2 linked regions of the Oryza sativa Japonica Group genome follow. Each later gene encodes a partner of the first gene's protein in a complex. Links are inferred from orthologs where the notes say so. Each region holds a gene or a part of one and is shown on either strand. Other genes may lie near its edges. The genes, in order: trafficking protein particle complex II-specific subunit 130 homolog and trafficking protein particle complex II-specific subunit 120 homolog.

The links.
Region 2: trafficking protein particle complex II-specific subunit 130 homolog (region 1) and trafficking protein particle complex II-specific subunit 120 homolog share a complex: the UniProt entries of both Arabidopsis thaliana proteins name them as parts of the multisubunit TRAPP (transport protein particle) II complex. The link is inferred for Oryza sativa Japonica Group from reciprocal best matches to the Arabidopsis thaliana genes CLUB and TRS120.

The regions. Positions count from the first base shown.
Region 1 is NC_089046.1:23,210,951-23,219,672, reverse strand, and holds the start of trafficking protein particle complex II-specific subunit 130 homolog, read left to right. Parts: upstream 1-3,042; 5' UTR 3,043-3,228; coding exon 3,229-3,292; intron 3,293-3,827; coding exon 3,828-4,057; intron 4,058-4,176; coding exon 4,177-4,358; intron 4,359-4,605; coding exon 4,606-4,789; intron 4,790-4,916; coding exon 4,917-5,007; intron 5,008-5,698; coding exon 5,699-5,859; intron 5,860-6,431; coding exon 6,432-6,521; intron 6,522-6,622; coding exon 6,623-6,784; intron 6,785-8,006; coding exon 8,007-8,068; intron 8,069-8,250; coding exon 8,251-8,341; intron 8,342-8,722. Other genes in the region: uncharacterized protein, read left to right, coding at 16-118, 532-650, 841-1,008, 1,099-1,731. UniProt on the Arabidopsis thaliana protein: Specific subunit of the TRAPP II complex, a highly conserved vesicle tethering complex that is required for the proper transport of proteins in post-Golgi trafficking pathways to the growing cell plate in mitotic active cells.
Region 2 is NC_089038.1:25,567,542-25,574,592, reverse strand, and holds the end of trafficking protein particle complex II-specific subunit 120 homolog, read right to left. Parts: coding exon 7,030-7,051; intron 6,787-7,029; coding exon 6,495-6,786; intron 5,567-6,494; coding exon 5,319-5,566; intron 5,132-5,318; coding exon 4,257-5,131; intron 3,561-4,256; coding exon 2,601-3,560; intron 2,382-2,600; coding exon 2,161-2,381; 3' UTR 1,981-2,160; downstream 1-1,980. Other genes in the region: 40S ribosomal protein S11, read left to right, coding at 8-101. UniProt on the Arabidopsis thaliana protein: Specific subunit of the TRAPP II complex, a highly conserved vesicle tethering complex that is required for the proper transport of proteins in post-Golgi trafficking pathways to the growing cell plate in mitotic active cells.

The sequences.
Region 1 (8,722 bases):
TGTTATATATTTTAGATCATTGGGCATTCAATGGGTGCTGGCATCGCTGCAATATTAGCATACATTCTGCGTGAGAATGAGAAGTTATCATCATCCACATGTCTTGCATTTGGACCAGGTATGCATCATGGAGCACAAGCAACTAGTTTACCATTGTTCACGGACCTTGGAATTGCATTCTTAACATAAGAAAATATATTTCACTAAAAGGCCATATTAGCACCTTACACACCAATATAGTCTCATGGAATGGCATTTGCACGCCTACAATTTAAAAGCTATTAATTAATTGTTATAAAAAAATTCTAGCTTTAACTATTCAGCAATGAACAAATGTTTGAAGGATCTTATGATTTTTACATATTCAATTTTTTTTGGACAAAGATTACATGTCCAATCGATCGCGATGTACATATACATCTGTAGAATAAGTAGAATAACTCCATGTTCTTCTTTTGATTCTACAAAATTATGATGTAGAAATACTTGATGTGAGATAGTAATGCTCCCTGTCCTACTATTTCTGTTCAGCTGCTTGCATGACATGGGACTTGGCTGAGTCGGGTAAAGACTTCATCACAACCATTGTCAACAGAAATGACCTAGTTCCATCTTTTGGCAAAGTTTCTGCTGCCAAGCTCCGTACAGAGGTACCTCTCAGCTACCTGAATTCATGAGCAGATTCCTAAGTATGACGATCAAAACGGGAACCAAGAACTGTATCGCAGATGCAGTTCTTTAGAGCATATCATTTATAAAATTCTTCCCTGCAAACAGTTCTTGGAAGCTAGTAAAAGATAATCATTGCAACATATTTACCGTCGCGGTCATTGATGACAGGTCATGGCATCATCCTGGGTACATGACCTTCGTGAGCAAATTCAGCAGACCAGATTCTTGGGCTTTGTCAATCGCTCTGTGAGCTTCATCCGATCGCACGTGCCATTCGTCTCTGATCCAAGATCCAAGGTTGTAGATGTTGACATGCTGGTGCCCAACAGCTCTGAGGTATGGCAGCTAGATTGTTGCAAACACCAGTTCTTCGAACAAGCTAATCATACTTGTCACCTAAATAGTTGATTCATGATTATTTGGCAGGCTGATCAGGTGAAGCCTTCGTCAAATTCAGATGCTGTGGTGAAGAAACGCCATGCAATAGCTTGCTGGTCATGTGTTGCTGCACATAAGCATTCCATTGACTCTGCAAAACATGGAACTCATGACATCACAAATCAAACTGATGTCAATGTCAAAGCTGAGAAAACTGACATCGAAACGGCACAACTAGTCTCAATTTCCATGGAAGAACTTGACCTTCAAGAATCAGATAATGACGATGATACCGACAGAGGGGAGAATGAGCCAGCTCTCAATGAAACAGACGAAGATCAGGCCGTGGAGCTTCTAGAAACCTTGACCGACAACCCACACGAGCCGTCATCGTCGAGCCAAAGTCAAGATCCCCCCCAGCTCTACCCTCCAGGAAGAATAATGCACATGGTTGGATTGCCATCATCATCAGAGCCAAACAGTACAAGTGAACAAGGTGAGGAGGTCGTTGCCTTGTATGAGACACCTCGACATCTTTACAGCAAGATTCGCTTGGCGAGATCCATGATAAGGGAGCATTACATGCCCAAGTACATCAGGACAATGGAGCTGTTGATCGACAAGCTCGTCGCCGAGGAGGAGGACGGCATCGATGACGACCACAGATTGGGATCATTGTAGCATTGGCTGGTGTACAGAATAATTGTTGTTGTTATTGTTGTACAGATTATGGAAAAGAAAAAAGGCAGCATGGTTTTCAGATTGCTAGTAGCTGTACCATAGTTCTGATGATTGTTTTCATGGTTTGTGGTTAGCATCCAGGAGGCTGTAAACTCCTGATAGATTGTGTTATGATGATTCGCTGTCATTTCCTTTTGACAGCGGCCATCACAGGAAGGGCTAAAGAGCTGAACCTCGTGATGGTTTCTGTAATTCAGAAGCAATTTGTTTGTTTTTAGCTGTGAATATTAATCTCCAAGGAGATAGGCTAATCCATGACATCTCTCTGAAATGCATATGCGTACTAACTTTAATTTTATTTCAAGGATGTATGTTAAATTCAATCTGGGGCTGTGTCATATTTTTCTTCTTCTTTTTAAACTGTCATCTGCAATTCTGCATTAGATCATACCTTTCTTATGTCATGCGAGTTACACAGTTTCGGTCATTCAGACTGTCTTCTTGATCTTTTCATATCTGAGCTTTGTGATGCACCATGAGACATTTAGTTCATGTCGCTGCATTTGATTATTCGTAAATGCACTAAACATCTTTGGTTATTGATTTGACCACTTTTGGGGAATAAAGTGTTAAATGGCACAGAGCTGTTAATATAACTTCGTCTGTTGGGGCAAAATTTTTGGCATATTGAATATAGGACTACAAGTAATAAGTTTGCATCATAACATCTCGTAAATTCGGTCCACAAATACGGGTAAATTTGGCCCTCAAGTGCAAATAAATTCGGCAAAAACTGCGTGTAAGGTAGGCCCATGAGTGCAGTTTCGGCCCAAATTTGCCCGTAATTAGGCCTTAGTAAATTTTGCCCCCAAAATAGGCTTTAAATTTGGCCCAAATACGAGTACAAATCCAGCCCGCAATGCCGGAACCTGCACGTTATTTCAGCCCAAAATCCGCACAAATTTGGCCTAACCACCGCGCAAATTCAGCCCAAAGTATGCTTAAACTTGGCCCAAAAATACGTACCAAGTGTGGGTAAATTCAGCCCGTCACTGCCCTTAAACCCAGCCCATCCGTAGAACAAATCCGGTTCGCAAGTGGCCCCGAATCGGCCAGAGAATTTGGCCCAAAGTTGCGCGTCAATTAGGCCCAGAGAAGCGCGTGAATTCGGCCCGAGCGAGGTCGCGAACTCAGCAGGGCCAGCAGATATCACCACTCATCTAAAGCCTCCCGTGGGAGACTGACACGTGGGCCCCACACGTCAGCCTCTCCGACCCGTTTACCCCGACCCGCTTTACGGCCACAGCCTTCGTCTCGTCTCCACCGAACTCTTCCACTCCTCCGCATCTCGCGATCTCTTCCCCCCCCCCCCCCCCGCGCGCCGCCTCTCTCCGGCGAACCCCTCACCGGCGGCGGCGGCGGGGCGAGTGGGACGCCGCATGGAGCAGTAGGGGACGGAGCGGAGGCTGCGTGAGGTGAAGGGCGGGCGCGGTGGCGATGGCGAACTACCTCGCGCAGTTCCAGACCATCAAGTCCTCCTGCGACCGCATCGTCGTCGCCGGTACGGGTCTCCTCCTCCTCCTCCCTGAACCCTAGAAATGGCCCCGGGATCTGATCCGTCAAGCCGCGCGGCTGGCTCGGCCCGCGTGATCTCGGGGCCGCGGCGATTCGAGCTGGAATAGTGGGTCTAGTTTAGTTAGATTCGCAGTGCAGGTAGTTTGCATGTTTGCGTTTGTGTAAAATTTCATAGTGATTGAGCTCACGAGCAGCAATGGAAGATGCGGGGGGTTTGGTGGTTCCATGATCTGATTCTGGAAGCGTGATGCAGTGCATCACATCGGCATGAAACAACCCGTGTAGGATTCTCCCAAGTATAACTACCCTCATTCACTCACTGCAGCTCAACTTGCTAGCACATTTCTAGCTATGTTGGAAGATTTTCCTTTTAGGGCGTACAGTTTGGAGAATTACATTGAAAATGGGTTTGAACATTAATTGTTTTACTTCTTTGCTGCACATGCTGGTGGAAATGAATTTCAAGTTTGTTTATCTGTGTGGACTTCTTCTTATACATGGTAATTTGCGTTTTGTAACAGTTGAAGATGTGAGTGACTTGTGGCTCAATGTGAAAGAAAGTTTCGAGCAACGCTTACCAGTGAAGAAGGCCTGCCTCAATAACAAGGCGAGGAATCCTGTTTTTGTGGAAAACCTACCAGCTGAGTTTATACAGACCACTGATTCGAGGCTACGTAGTCGATTTCCACAAGATCAATACTTGTTTTGGTTCCGGGAACCATATGCAACTGTTGTTCTTGTCAGTTGCGAGGTACTTTCGTGTCCTCATGCATGCTGCTCTTTCTAATTCTTCTCAAGTAATAATATCACTTCTCAAACGGACCATGTGGATGACTTTTTGCATTCATTTCTCTCTATTGAAATCTCCAGGATCTTGATGAGTTCAAGACCATTCTTAAGCCTCGCCTCAAATTGATTGTGCAAAATGATGAGAGGGAATGGTTCATTGTATTTGTGTCTAAGGCCCATCCTAGCAATGACCAAGCATCTAAGATGGCAAAGAGAGTATATGCTAGGCTTGAGAGCGATTTCAACACTAAAAAAAGAGAAAGGTATTTGTTTGCCAATTCTGCATAACAGTATTGGTAATATTCATATCTTTGACTTTGAAAAATGTAAATGTTTTGGTTGATTCAGTTCAACATGCTATTTGCGGTCATCTTGCACTTATGTTGTTCCTATATGGATGCTCAACCTCCAAATTCCCAAGGAACTTTTTTTGGGACCTTAAGTTAAACTTCACTACAAATAGTATCGAGTTATTAACAGGTTTAAAAAGTATGGCCTTTTATGATGCAGATGCTGTAAATTTGATCTCCATGGACCTGATGCGGAATTCTGGGATGATTTTGACTCCAAAATGGTGGACTGCATTAGAAACACATTGGATAGGCGGGTTCAATTTTATGAAGAGGAAATTCGCAGGTTAAGTGAGCAGAGATTCACTCCGATATGGAACTTCTGCAACTTTTTTATTCTTAAGGTATAACAATGCAACCACGTTTGATGCTTGTCAGTTGAAATTATATTTTTAGTAGCACTGGTTTTATGAACAAACATACCTTTGTTTCATGTGGCTTTCTTGTAATTGATATCATTTATTTGTTTAGGAAAGCTTGGCTTTCATGTTTGAGATGACTAATCTTCATGAAGATTCACTCCGTGAATACGACGAGCTTGAACTATGCTACTCAGAATCAGGTTTTCTCTAACTTCGATGTAGCAGTTATGTTGCATTCATTTTTGAGCTTTGCATCTAGTACATTTGCATATATCCAAAAGCTTTTCTGCCCTAATCAATATAAAGGTCGCGGTATAAGATTTTTTTCAAGAGTGATGAAGTTTTTCATGAATTTGCAGTAACTCCGTACATCTATTCATGCTTATTTGGAGTCTTTGGACTAAGCTATGTTTTTATCGTTGCACAATATGTCATTCACTTCTCATAGAAAATATAGATTTTTATTGAAATCTTAGGTTAGAAATGTTTTTTTTCATGGATAGATTTTATAGTATTAGATAGAGGTTTTAAAAGCTGTGCTTCTGATACCAGATCAGTCAGATGACATTATAAAACATTAATATTGCTTCCAACCATAAACATGTAAAATTGTAAATCTAATTTCCAAGTTTTCCTTGTTCTTTCTGGAGAATAACTGTTTATTTACGAATTTTTTAGTACTTATCATGCTTCGAAACTACCATTTCATCATCATTGACTATATCTCATTCTTTTCTTCTGTCTTAAGGATCTAACTGTGGTGTAAAACTTATCACTTTGCTGCGTAAGTTAGTATATATTATAGAGATATCTAAAATAAAATGTAAGGAATATTGTCTTACAGCATGGTTTGTTATTAGTATTCATAACATTCTGTTCACATGAATGCAGTTAATTCTCCTGGAAAACATCGAGAATTTGGAGGATTGGATACTGGTGATGATCAAGCGGCGCTGCTAAATCCAGGATTTAAAGCATTGACCCAAATTGTCCAGGATGATGTGTTCAGAGAATTTGAGTTTAGACAATACATATTTGCTTGCCAGGCTAAGGTATAAGACATGTCGTAAAAAAATGAGTAACTGAATGCTATTTTTTCCTATGATTTTTTTTGTCAAGTCAGTAATATTTTTTTTCATTCTTACTTCATTGCAATCTGTTCTTCATTGCTGTACTGCTTGGTTCTTTTTTTATTACCAGTTACATGCCCGTACGTTGCAACGGGATCATTAGATTTTTTTTAAGGGTGGTTTTTTTATAAAGAGAGGGAGCATTTTTTTAGAGGAGGAAGGACAACGACTGCTCTTTTAAAGTAGTTAAGATGAGTTGGCAATGTCACAGTTAGAGAATACCATTGTATGTGTCATTGACATGTGTGTCCAGGCCCCACATGTCATTCTCACATACAATTGCAATTTGCAACTCACATATGCCTAGAGTGCTACTGTTTAATGGCGTAGCGGTGCTCTTTATTGCTCAATACAAACATGCACACTGTTTTACTCAAGTGGAACATGTTACATAAAACTAGACATCCAGTGCCAGAACTTTGTTCTGTTTTAGAGCTAGTTCAACTGAACCTTATATATTGCCTTTATACTTTTTCCATTTCACCATTTTGCAGTTATTGTTTAAATTGCATCGCCCAATTGAGGTTGCTGCAAGAGGATATGCTTTTGTGGTTAGCTTTTCCAAGACGCTAGCCTTGCAGGAGGTATGTACATTCTCTGTTTTATTCCTCTACAAGCAAAGTTTATGTTCTAGAAAGACTATATTGTGTGAAGTGTACTCAAGTAATTCTGAATGTGCTTTCAGAATGGTCTACCATTTTGTTTTCGTGAAGTATGGGTGATAACTGCATGTATGGATTTAATAAAAGCAACAACCTCACACTATGATGGTACAGCTGTTGCTATCGACTCAGAGAGGGAGTTCTGTCGTATTCAGGGTGACCTCTATTCTCTGTGCCGTATTAAGGTAAGTTCTGATACTTCTGGTAATTTAATATTGATTTCCCTGCTATATATCGTATTTTTATTCTATTTACGAATTTACATTTTCCCATGAGTTATTGAAGAAGTATGAATATTGGCCATTATCTGGTAGCTTGTTGCTAGGATTTAATGAATGTTGTCTAGAATTCTGTACTTAATGAGGCTTATTTGTTTTAGCATTGATGCATTGTGATTTGTAGAAGTATCTAGTAAGGCTGCGTTTTTTACCTCCCTTTCCCAACCTCCCTCCCTCGTTTTCTGCACGCACGCTTTTCAAACTACTAAACGGTACATTTTTTGCAAAAAAATTCTATACGAAAGTTGCTTAAAAAAATCATATTAATCCATTTTTGAAAAAAAAATTAGCAAATACTTAATTAATCATACAATAATAGGTGCTTCGTTTTACGTGCCGGGGAGGACCCCTCCTCCCGAACACAGCCTAAGTTTAATTGCTTAAATCTAATGTTTCTACTTGTTCCTATTTAATATTGTAAATTAAGTACAAAAAAAGTGGAACAGTAGTGGGAAATAGTATTATGCAAGAGTTAGTTTGTAAAAAATCTTTAAAAAAAGAACTTAATTTTGTACTTGGTCAAGACCAGTTTCTGTTGCTATATTTTTAATCATTTCACACTAGCCGTGCTTTCATTTTTAGTTGTAAATCATTTTGGAAGTTACCTGTCTTCACACAAGTTTCTATTGTTTGATGATTTATATACATTTGTCATAAACCATTTATATTTTCTGTTAATAAGTAATGTTGTTGTTTATTTGTAGTTTCAAATCATTTACTAGTTACATCCTTATCTTCACATTAGTTTCTATTACTGTATTAAGTAATTTAGTCCTGATGAATCATTTTCGGAGTTGCCTAGCCATGTTGTCATGAATTGATCCCGTGTATTCACGGAATCAAGTTGAGGGGTGTATCTCCAGGGAATGACCCACTTGAACCACCCAATTATGTTTAGTGACCTATAGTGCAATTTACTCAATATTTTTAATTCAAATGGAAACTGTGTCTGTTCTTTCTCTTCTTTCTTTTGTACTCTTAACAATATGTGTTAGTTTTTTTATTACAATGAATTTCTTGTGTGCCATCAATCAAGCCCTTTTTCGTTGCTTTGTGAATTACATTTCTCTCAGTTTTGTACTGTACAGAAAACTGTTTGTTTATATGATACTCTTGATGGATATTGCAGTTTCTGAGGCTTGCTTATTTGATTGGTTATGGAGTTGAGATAGAAAAAAGTCCAGTCAACAGGTACTAATCCAGCTCCTCTATTAGATATACTAAATTCAACTTTCCTATTGGTCAATTACCAATTAATAGGTTACTTTCCTCTCTTTTTACATGTCACTGAACAGTGAGACATTGTATCTTGATTGTTTCATGATTCATCATCAATCTTGCATTCAAAATGATATGTTTTGTTGTGTCTGCAGTGCATCTTTAAGCATGCTACCATGGCCAAAGCCAGCTACATGGCCTTCTATTCCACCGGATTCATCAGCAGAAACAATGGCAAAGGAGAAGGCAAGCAGTTTTCAGCATTACTTTTTGACATTTAATCTTCTAGTGATGCTTCATGTAGACTGCTGTTCTCTTGTATTGAGTCAGTTTGCTCTTGTCCTGCTTAATTGGCCCATACCACTTCAGCACTTCCTAAGTTATAACTCTAATGAAGCCATAACTTATAAGAATGTGTATCTTTCGCACACATTGAAAACTTTCACATGCATTACAAATATGTACCAGTCATTTGTTAATGTAGAACAAATGAAGAAGAATGGGAAAACAAGTTCCCAGATTATATGACACAGAACAGTAGTGGCAATGATGATTGAACAGTGTACCATAAAGTTGTTGCTGATATTTTCAGTACTTACTGAAAGATGCGATGGGATGGAATATGTA
Region 2 (7,051 bases), on another chromosome or scaffold:
ATATCAGGCCACTGTCAAAGACCGTGAGGTTCAATGTGCTGAAGGTCATTCCGGCAGGGTCAAAGAGTGGTGCAGGGAAGAAGGTTTTCACAGCCGCTTAAGATGTATATGAGGAGATATTCAGGGTTCTGAAAGCTTTGATCATGAGATTTTGATGCCACCTAGATGTCTTTCTCGTGTCTACCATCTTGACTAGACAAGAGTTTACCTTTCTGTACTAGGAATTTGACTTGACTTTACTTGTCAAGCTTAAAATCTTAAGAAGTTTCTGCGCCCATGTCTGTCTGTGTACTGATCGTTTTCCCATTCAATCAACATATAGTTTGTAGAATGCTTGACGATGTGAAGATCTATCAAAAAAAAAAAAAGCTCGTCTCCCCAATTTGGTTGAGATAATTTCAGTAATCGTGACTAGGAAGTACATGGCCTGCACGTGTGTGATTGTGAACGGCACCGGCACAACGAGCGCTATACTATGCGAGTGCCTTACGATTAGGATGTTTGTTTCGTTCTGTCACTTCAAAGTTCAAACATTATACGAACACGAAGCAAAAGCTATGCTTATGTTTATCAGTCAAAATTTTAATTTTCAACCTTAAATTTGGAGTCGATTTTGAGGTTTTTTTCATCGAAGTTTATTTTCCAGCCTTTACTTCTAGACTGCCAAGAACACGTATATAAAAGTTTTATTCACAACTTATTTTTCGTTTGCAAATATGCCGTTTCATTTATTCCGCGAATAAGCGAAACGATGGCTCCGTAAGCTTGGTAAGCCTGATTACCGTGCTACCAAAGCTAAGCCGTCCTACAGGCTGGTACTCTCTGAATTCAAATGACGAGAATATTTTACTTTAAAGAATTAAAGCAGAATGCATCATGTTATAAGTACAACTAATTTATAGAGTTGAAGAAATAAACAGTTAACCAAATATCTAGCTGGAGGGGCATATGATTGCAAATTTGCAATGTTTGATTACGCATCGTATGACATAGGAGTATTACAGAGGTGATGAAAAATTACACTATCCTGGGATCAGTTCCTTAGATACTAGCCAAACGAATAATTTCTTCAAGGTACGATTTCATCTCCTCCTGAGATAGTGTCTCCCCATTGTTCATCCTCGTAAGAGCCGCCCTTGCAACATTAGCGATTTTCTCCAGTCGAGCCTCATTTCGTTCTATTTCTATAACTACCTTTTGCAACTTGCGGAGGGCATAAAATCCTGCACACTTATGACCATGAAAACAAAAGTAAAGGAATGTCAGAAGTTCACATCATCTTGCACGACCCATTGAAAGTTTTGTGCAAGCTACAAATTGCAATTGCACACGGACAAAAAGGGGTAGGACTTCGCCACTGCTCAAGTTTGTCAAGACAATCAGAGCATTTCGTAACTTTTATCATGTCCATTTCAAAACATAAGACTGCAGTATGCAAGGTTAGTAATTTGAAAACATTCTTATCTGCCTCTACACAAACCTTCAGTAGCTCAGACACCGGCGAAGGCTTCCCTTGAAGCTCCTGCTCTTCAAGGCGATTGCCAGGCTGTACTTCAAGCAACAAACAAATGCATGCCAGTGAGGACCTCCGCCCAAGAAACATAAAAGATTGAAAAGAAGCATATAAAAGATTTGATCACAAGACTAGGGATGCAGCCTTCTTTGACAACTTGACCTTTGCCTTATTGTCCTTGTCACTGTTTGCAAAGAAATTAAACAATCGCTGGTTGATGGGTGTATTGATGCATCAAAATTTCAAAACCCCAACAATTTCTTAACGGCAGAAATGACTATCCATGCGTATGAAAAGTAACAATCGATGGTTGATGGATTTCAACTTGTATTGATGCATCGAAATTTTTAAATCCCCATCATTTCTTAATGGCAGAAATGAGAGCTCATACGTATGGAATTCTTCGTAGGACAGAAAAAATTTACATCGAGATGCTGAAACCAGAACCAGCAAATTCGCGCGTCTGTGAAACAACCTTCACTATGCTTTTACACTGTACAAAACACAACTGTGTTACAGGGAAGCCTTCATGCGGCTCAAATAAATCAGATGTGCATAAAAATTCTACATGATCTTCGCAGCTGCACATGTCACGAAACTCACGCACGATACAGGGCACGCTCTAGACTAAATCCAAGAAAGTCCGGCTAAGCTGTACCAACTACATGGATATGGAATGGAGATCCACGGCATAGTATAGGTTCGTCGGGCGACTCTGCCTTTGCCCGAGCACGAAGAACATCGGTTGCGTCAATTATAACAGAAGCAGCTTGCAGCGAGTAGTCTCCGGGGACCAGGAAGTAGATAGAAAAAGGATGTACTACCTCCTGCAGTGGTTGAACCTCCAGATATATGTCACTAAGAACACCTGCACCAAAAAGGACATTTGTGAGTAAATAGATGAACAGATTAAGGGCAGAATGCAATGACAAACTGTAACCTAACGGATTGGTTCAATGGAAAGCCAAAAACTAATCAAAATGTAAATATTGTGATCTTCCTTAACCGTGATCATTTGCTGCCTTCAGAAAACAAAATGTCAAAACAGACAAGGATAGCAGGAAAGATAATGTCATCATTAAATTACCAGCCCAGAGGACAGTTGCGCTATTTTCGTCGAAGCAATTCTCTCCAGCAACATCTTTGCATGAAATGCTTAGGTTCATCCGAATAGTTTCCTTAGTGTTATTGCGAATTTGAACTTCCATATGGGTCATTTCATTAGCAAATATAGGATCCTTACACCTCAGAACACTCTCATCAGCAGAACGACTGGAACCGTCACCAGGCTCCTTCGAAGAGTCAGTTTTGGCTGTTGTTCCATCCTTGGCATGTCTAAAGCTGAATGTCAGCGGATCAGGCAACAGTATGTCCATAATAGATGCCTGTAATGCTGTCTGAATAGCATCTTTAATATTCAGCTCACCGGAGCTATTTCTCCCAGAATGCCACTTCACTTTTATCTTTGAAATCAAGTTGTTGATTGAAGCATTTAGTTCCGCCTTGGCATTCTTTTCTGCTAACGTGGCAGCTCTGGATCCAAGAGGTTCATCACTTCCATTTTCCTTCACAAAGAAGGAAGTGTCAAGAACAGGTAATTTGAAGTGCTCAAGAGGTATGAGAACTCTAGCAGAGTAGTCACGATCAATTCGAGTTTTGTGGCAAGCCGAACTGGCCGTTTTATCCTCTGGAAGAATTTTTTGCTCGACACTTGTGCCATCGAGATGAACTGAGACATCAACATCGAAAACAACATCAGTAGGATTAAACAGCTCAAGTTCCAGAAGACGGAGGTCCCAGCTTCCTTTATAAGGATCAATCTTCAATAAGCTAATGTCATTACGAATCGCATCACTGCCATTGCTTAGATTGTCCTTGCTACTGACAGATCTTAAGTGAGCATCAGTAAACCGGGCAGGTAATTCCATGGACAACAGGCGTGCTCTTACAAGTCGCATGCCCTGTACAACACAAATATTCAACGGAACAACCAGACGTCTTCCAGGTGGGAGAGAAACATCATTGCTCTCAGAGTTCCCTGAAGGACCTGTAATGGCAGAAAGTCGAAATTCAGTCCTCATTCCTCAAGACTGTAGACAGCCTAACTGATCATTAAAAAAGAATACTCTCCACATTTCATTTGTTTATGCTTAGAAAGGCCAAGGTTGTTGGTTATGCATTTCTAAGACAGGCTAAAGAGTGAGCATCGCCATTTCAGAGAAAGAAATACTGTAAACATCATCGAAGAGAATAAATAACAACTGACAAGGGGCTTTAACACACATACTCCCTCCATTTCATATTATAATTCGCTTTGACTTTTTTCCTAGTCTAACTTCTTTAAGTTTTACTAAGTTTATAAAAAAAATAGCAATATTTACAACACCGAATAAGTTTCACTATATGTAACATTGAATATATTTTGATAACATATTTGTTTTGAGTTGAAAATATTACTATATTTTTCTATAAAGTAGGTCAAACATAAAGGTTTGACTAGGAAAAAAGTCAAAACAACCTATAATATGAAACGGATGTAGTAGTAAACAAGCTACTCGTACTTGCCTATCTGTTTCTATCCTGCTATGGTAATTCCTTACAGCTAATTCCTACTGTGTTTTGCTGAAACATTTGAATCTAGGATAAATAAAAACAGTTGGTAGGGATGCATATGGATGGGAATATGTTAAACTGATGTGACTTCGATGCACTAATAAAATTGAATGTTGCACCAAGAACCCACCAGCATAGTGAATATCCAAGAAAGGATTACTCCCTTCTCTTGCTATCCTCCTTGAGTTTGCAGGAGATCTGCTGCCATCTGCTTCCAAATCTGTCGGGCTAAGATGCCAGGCTCTGAGAGTCACTGCGAATGTCACTTCTCCACCAGGTTTAATAGGAAGTGCAGATTTCCATGTGCTATGGGCAATCGAAATAACAGAATCTTGGTTCTTCCCTGACAATGCAACATTTGCTTCTTCAACAGGTACAGTTCCAGCATTTGTCAGTGTTATCAAAACATCACGGATTTCACCTTCATATAGAAGAATAGAACCATCTCCGCCCACAACATTGGCAACTAATAATGGCAGAGGAGGAACAACAGAAATGCTTGGAAAGTTAACGCTCTTAAACTTGCTAGAGCCACAGCATCTGAAAGGATCAGAAAGAACAAGCCCTTGTGCAGCTCCAAGGAGTAGACAATCGACCTCTTTGAATAGGTGTTCTGTGATAACACCGAAGCAATGAACAATGCACCCAGGAATTGATACTTGTCCAACTTGTGTTGGAATTCCAGATAACAGAACCAATTTGGAAGTGTTTGGTGGAAGATTAACACTAACCGGAAAGGCATCAAAATTTCCAGAATGAACAGAGAGATAAATGCTCTCAACAATTAGGTCAAAGCTGCAGGGATTTGCTAACTCTACCATAACTTGAACTGGCTCTCCCACAATCCAATTTACCTCTTGTTTGCTAGTTCCAGATGTTCCCCCCTTGGTGAAAGGTGTGTAAATAAAAGGTCCAGAAGGACCACCACCAGTCCACCACTCTTTTTTATTTGGATTGCGCTTCACTATCTCTCTTTGTGAAGGGTGCAGTGGGAAAGAATGCAACCTGAGTTAAAAAAAGGACACCAGAAATAAAAACTCAGAAAACAAATAAAGAAACATGCTCGATCAAAATCTTCTTCCTGATTCAACAGTAGTTCCTACAGTTTTGCAACAAAATAAAAGGACTCCTACAGTATCTATTTTAAGTTTCCCCAAACATAGCAATAAGAGTATTCATTAATTTGACATGCCTGATAAAAGGAAGACATGGATCGGCACAACGTGTGCCCGATGGAAGCTTATCAGCTGAGTTTGAAAGAGAGCTTGCCAAGCCACTCTGACCAGCTGGGGTGATGAGTGGGTAAAATGACCGAAGAAGCCGGGCTGCAGCACTCCACGACGATAAGGGATCCGCAGCCCGGATTGAAGACATCAGTATCTCTCTTAGAACAACCATTTGAAGGGTACTCCATTGTGACTCAAATAGTGATACTACAGACTGAGGATGCAATTTTCCAGGATCAGTATTGCCAGAATCAAATAAGGATAACCAGTAAAGCTATGAATGCAAAACTATTCAATATACGTCATTATCATTATATGTAAAATAAAATATAAACTCAACACCAATTTGTCAATATAATAATTACGCTCGTCCTTTGTGTGATTAAACGAATGATATCTGAATGATCATTTCTGGTATAACAAGATGAGCACCATAAAATAAAAAATATATGCTGGCAAAGTGCTCACATGCTCTTTAATAAAGCAGGAATGTTTACTAACATGATTAATACAGTTTGCATTGGGGTTCATGTATCTTTCTTAACCATTGATACCCGTCCTAAAATGCTTAAATTGAGTTATATTTCTTGTCAACGACATTTATTCTACCCTGCTCACCACATCAACAGAAATAAAAGGAAAGCAACTACTCTCTCCGTCCTATTTTAAGTGCAGCCATGATTTTCCGTGCCCAACTTTGATTGTCAGTCTTATTTCAAAATTTTTTGAAAAAAATTAAAAACATAAGTCACGCGTAAAGTACGATTCATGTTTTATCATCTTATAACAATAAAAATACTAATTATAAAAAAAATCAAATAAGACGGACGATCAAATTTGGGCATGGAAACTCATGGTTGCACTTAAAATGAGACGGAGGGAGTACTAATATATAAAGATGAATAAAAGGCAAAATGTTGTGCAGTTAACTCGTGACTAGCATAGCAAAGTTTATTTCCGTGAAATTTCCAGCATAAAAAGAAAGCACATTTTGATGATGGCATGATTTCACTGAGTAAAGCAGTATCCAAGTTGATAAAATGCGAGGCATGTTTGGAGAAGTTGAGGAGAACATATGAATATGGTGCAGTATTCTGAATAATGGAAATAATTCTCAATGCTGCAAGCTCTCAAAATCTCACCTTGAGCAAACCATGATCCATTTTGCTGGTCTTCCTGCTTTGAACATGGTATGCAGTTGTAGTTGTGGTTAGGACCTGCATAGCACTCATAGCAGCATATGCATTATCCTGCTGGAGATACAATTGCGCAACTTGTCTTGAAAAAAAGGCCGCCTTGCGTTTATAACCAAGTGTACCAAAAAGTCTCGCGATTTCAATATAGAGTATCAAGCGATCACTGGCATCAATCAGAGCCTTGGCACCATCGGCAGCGCCCATTAGTAAATCTGACACCTCCTTGGCACATTGCCGCCTTATAAAGAAAGAGCAAAATTCAATGGACAAAACAAACCTAAGTAAAGTATACTTTCAACAATCTCAGACCCCCATTCCACCCTAGTTTTTCCAGTCAAATAATTATAACTAAAGAAGCATAAGAATCTACTCAAGCACCAAAGGAGATATTGGGATTTTCATTCTATAGAAATCAATTGTTAATATAGCACAAAGAACCTGGCTAACCAAGTGCTGCTCATATAATAATAGGGAGACTCACCTGCACAAATATCTTGCCAGCT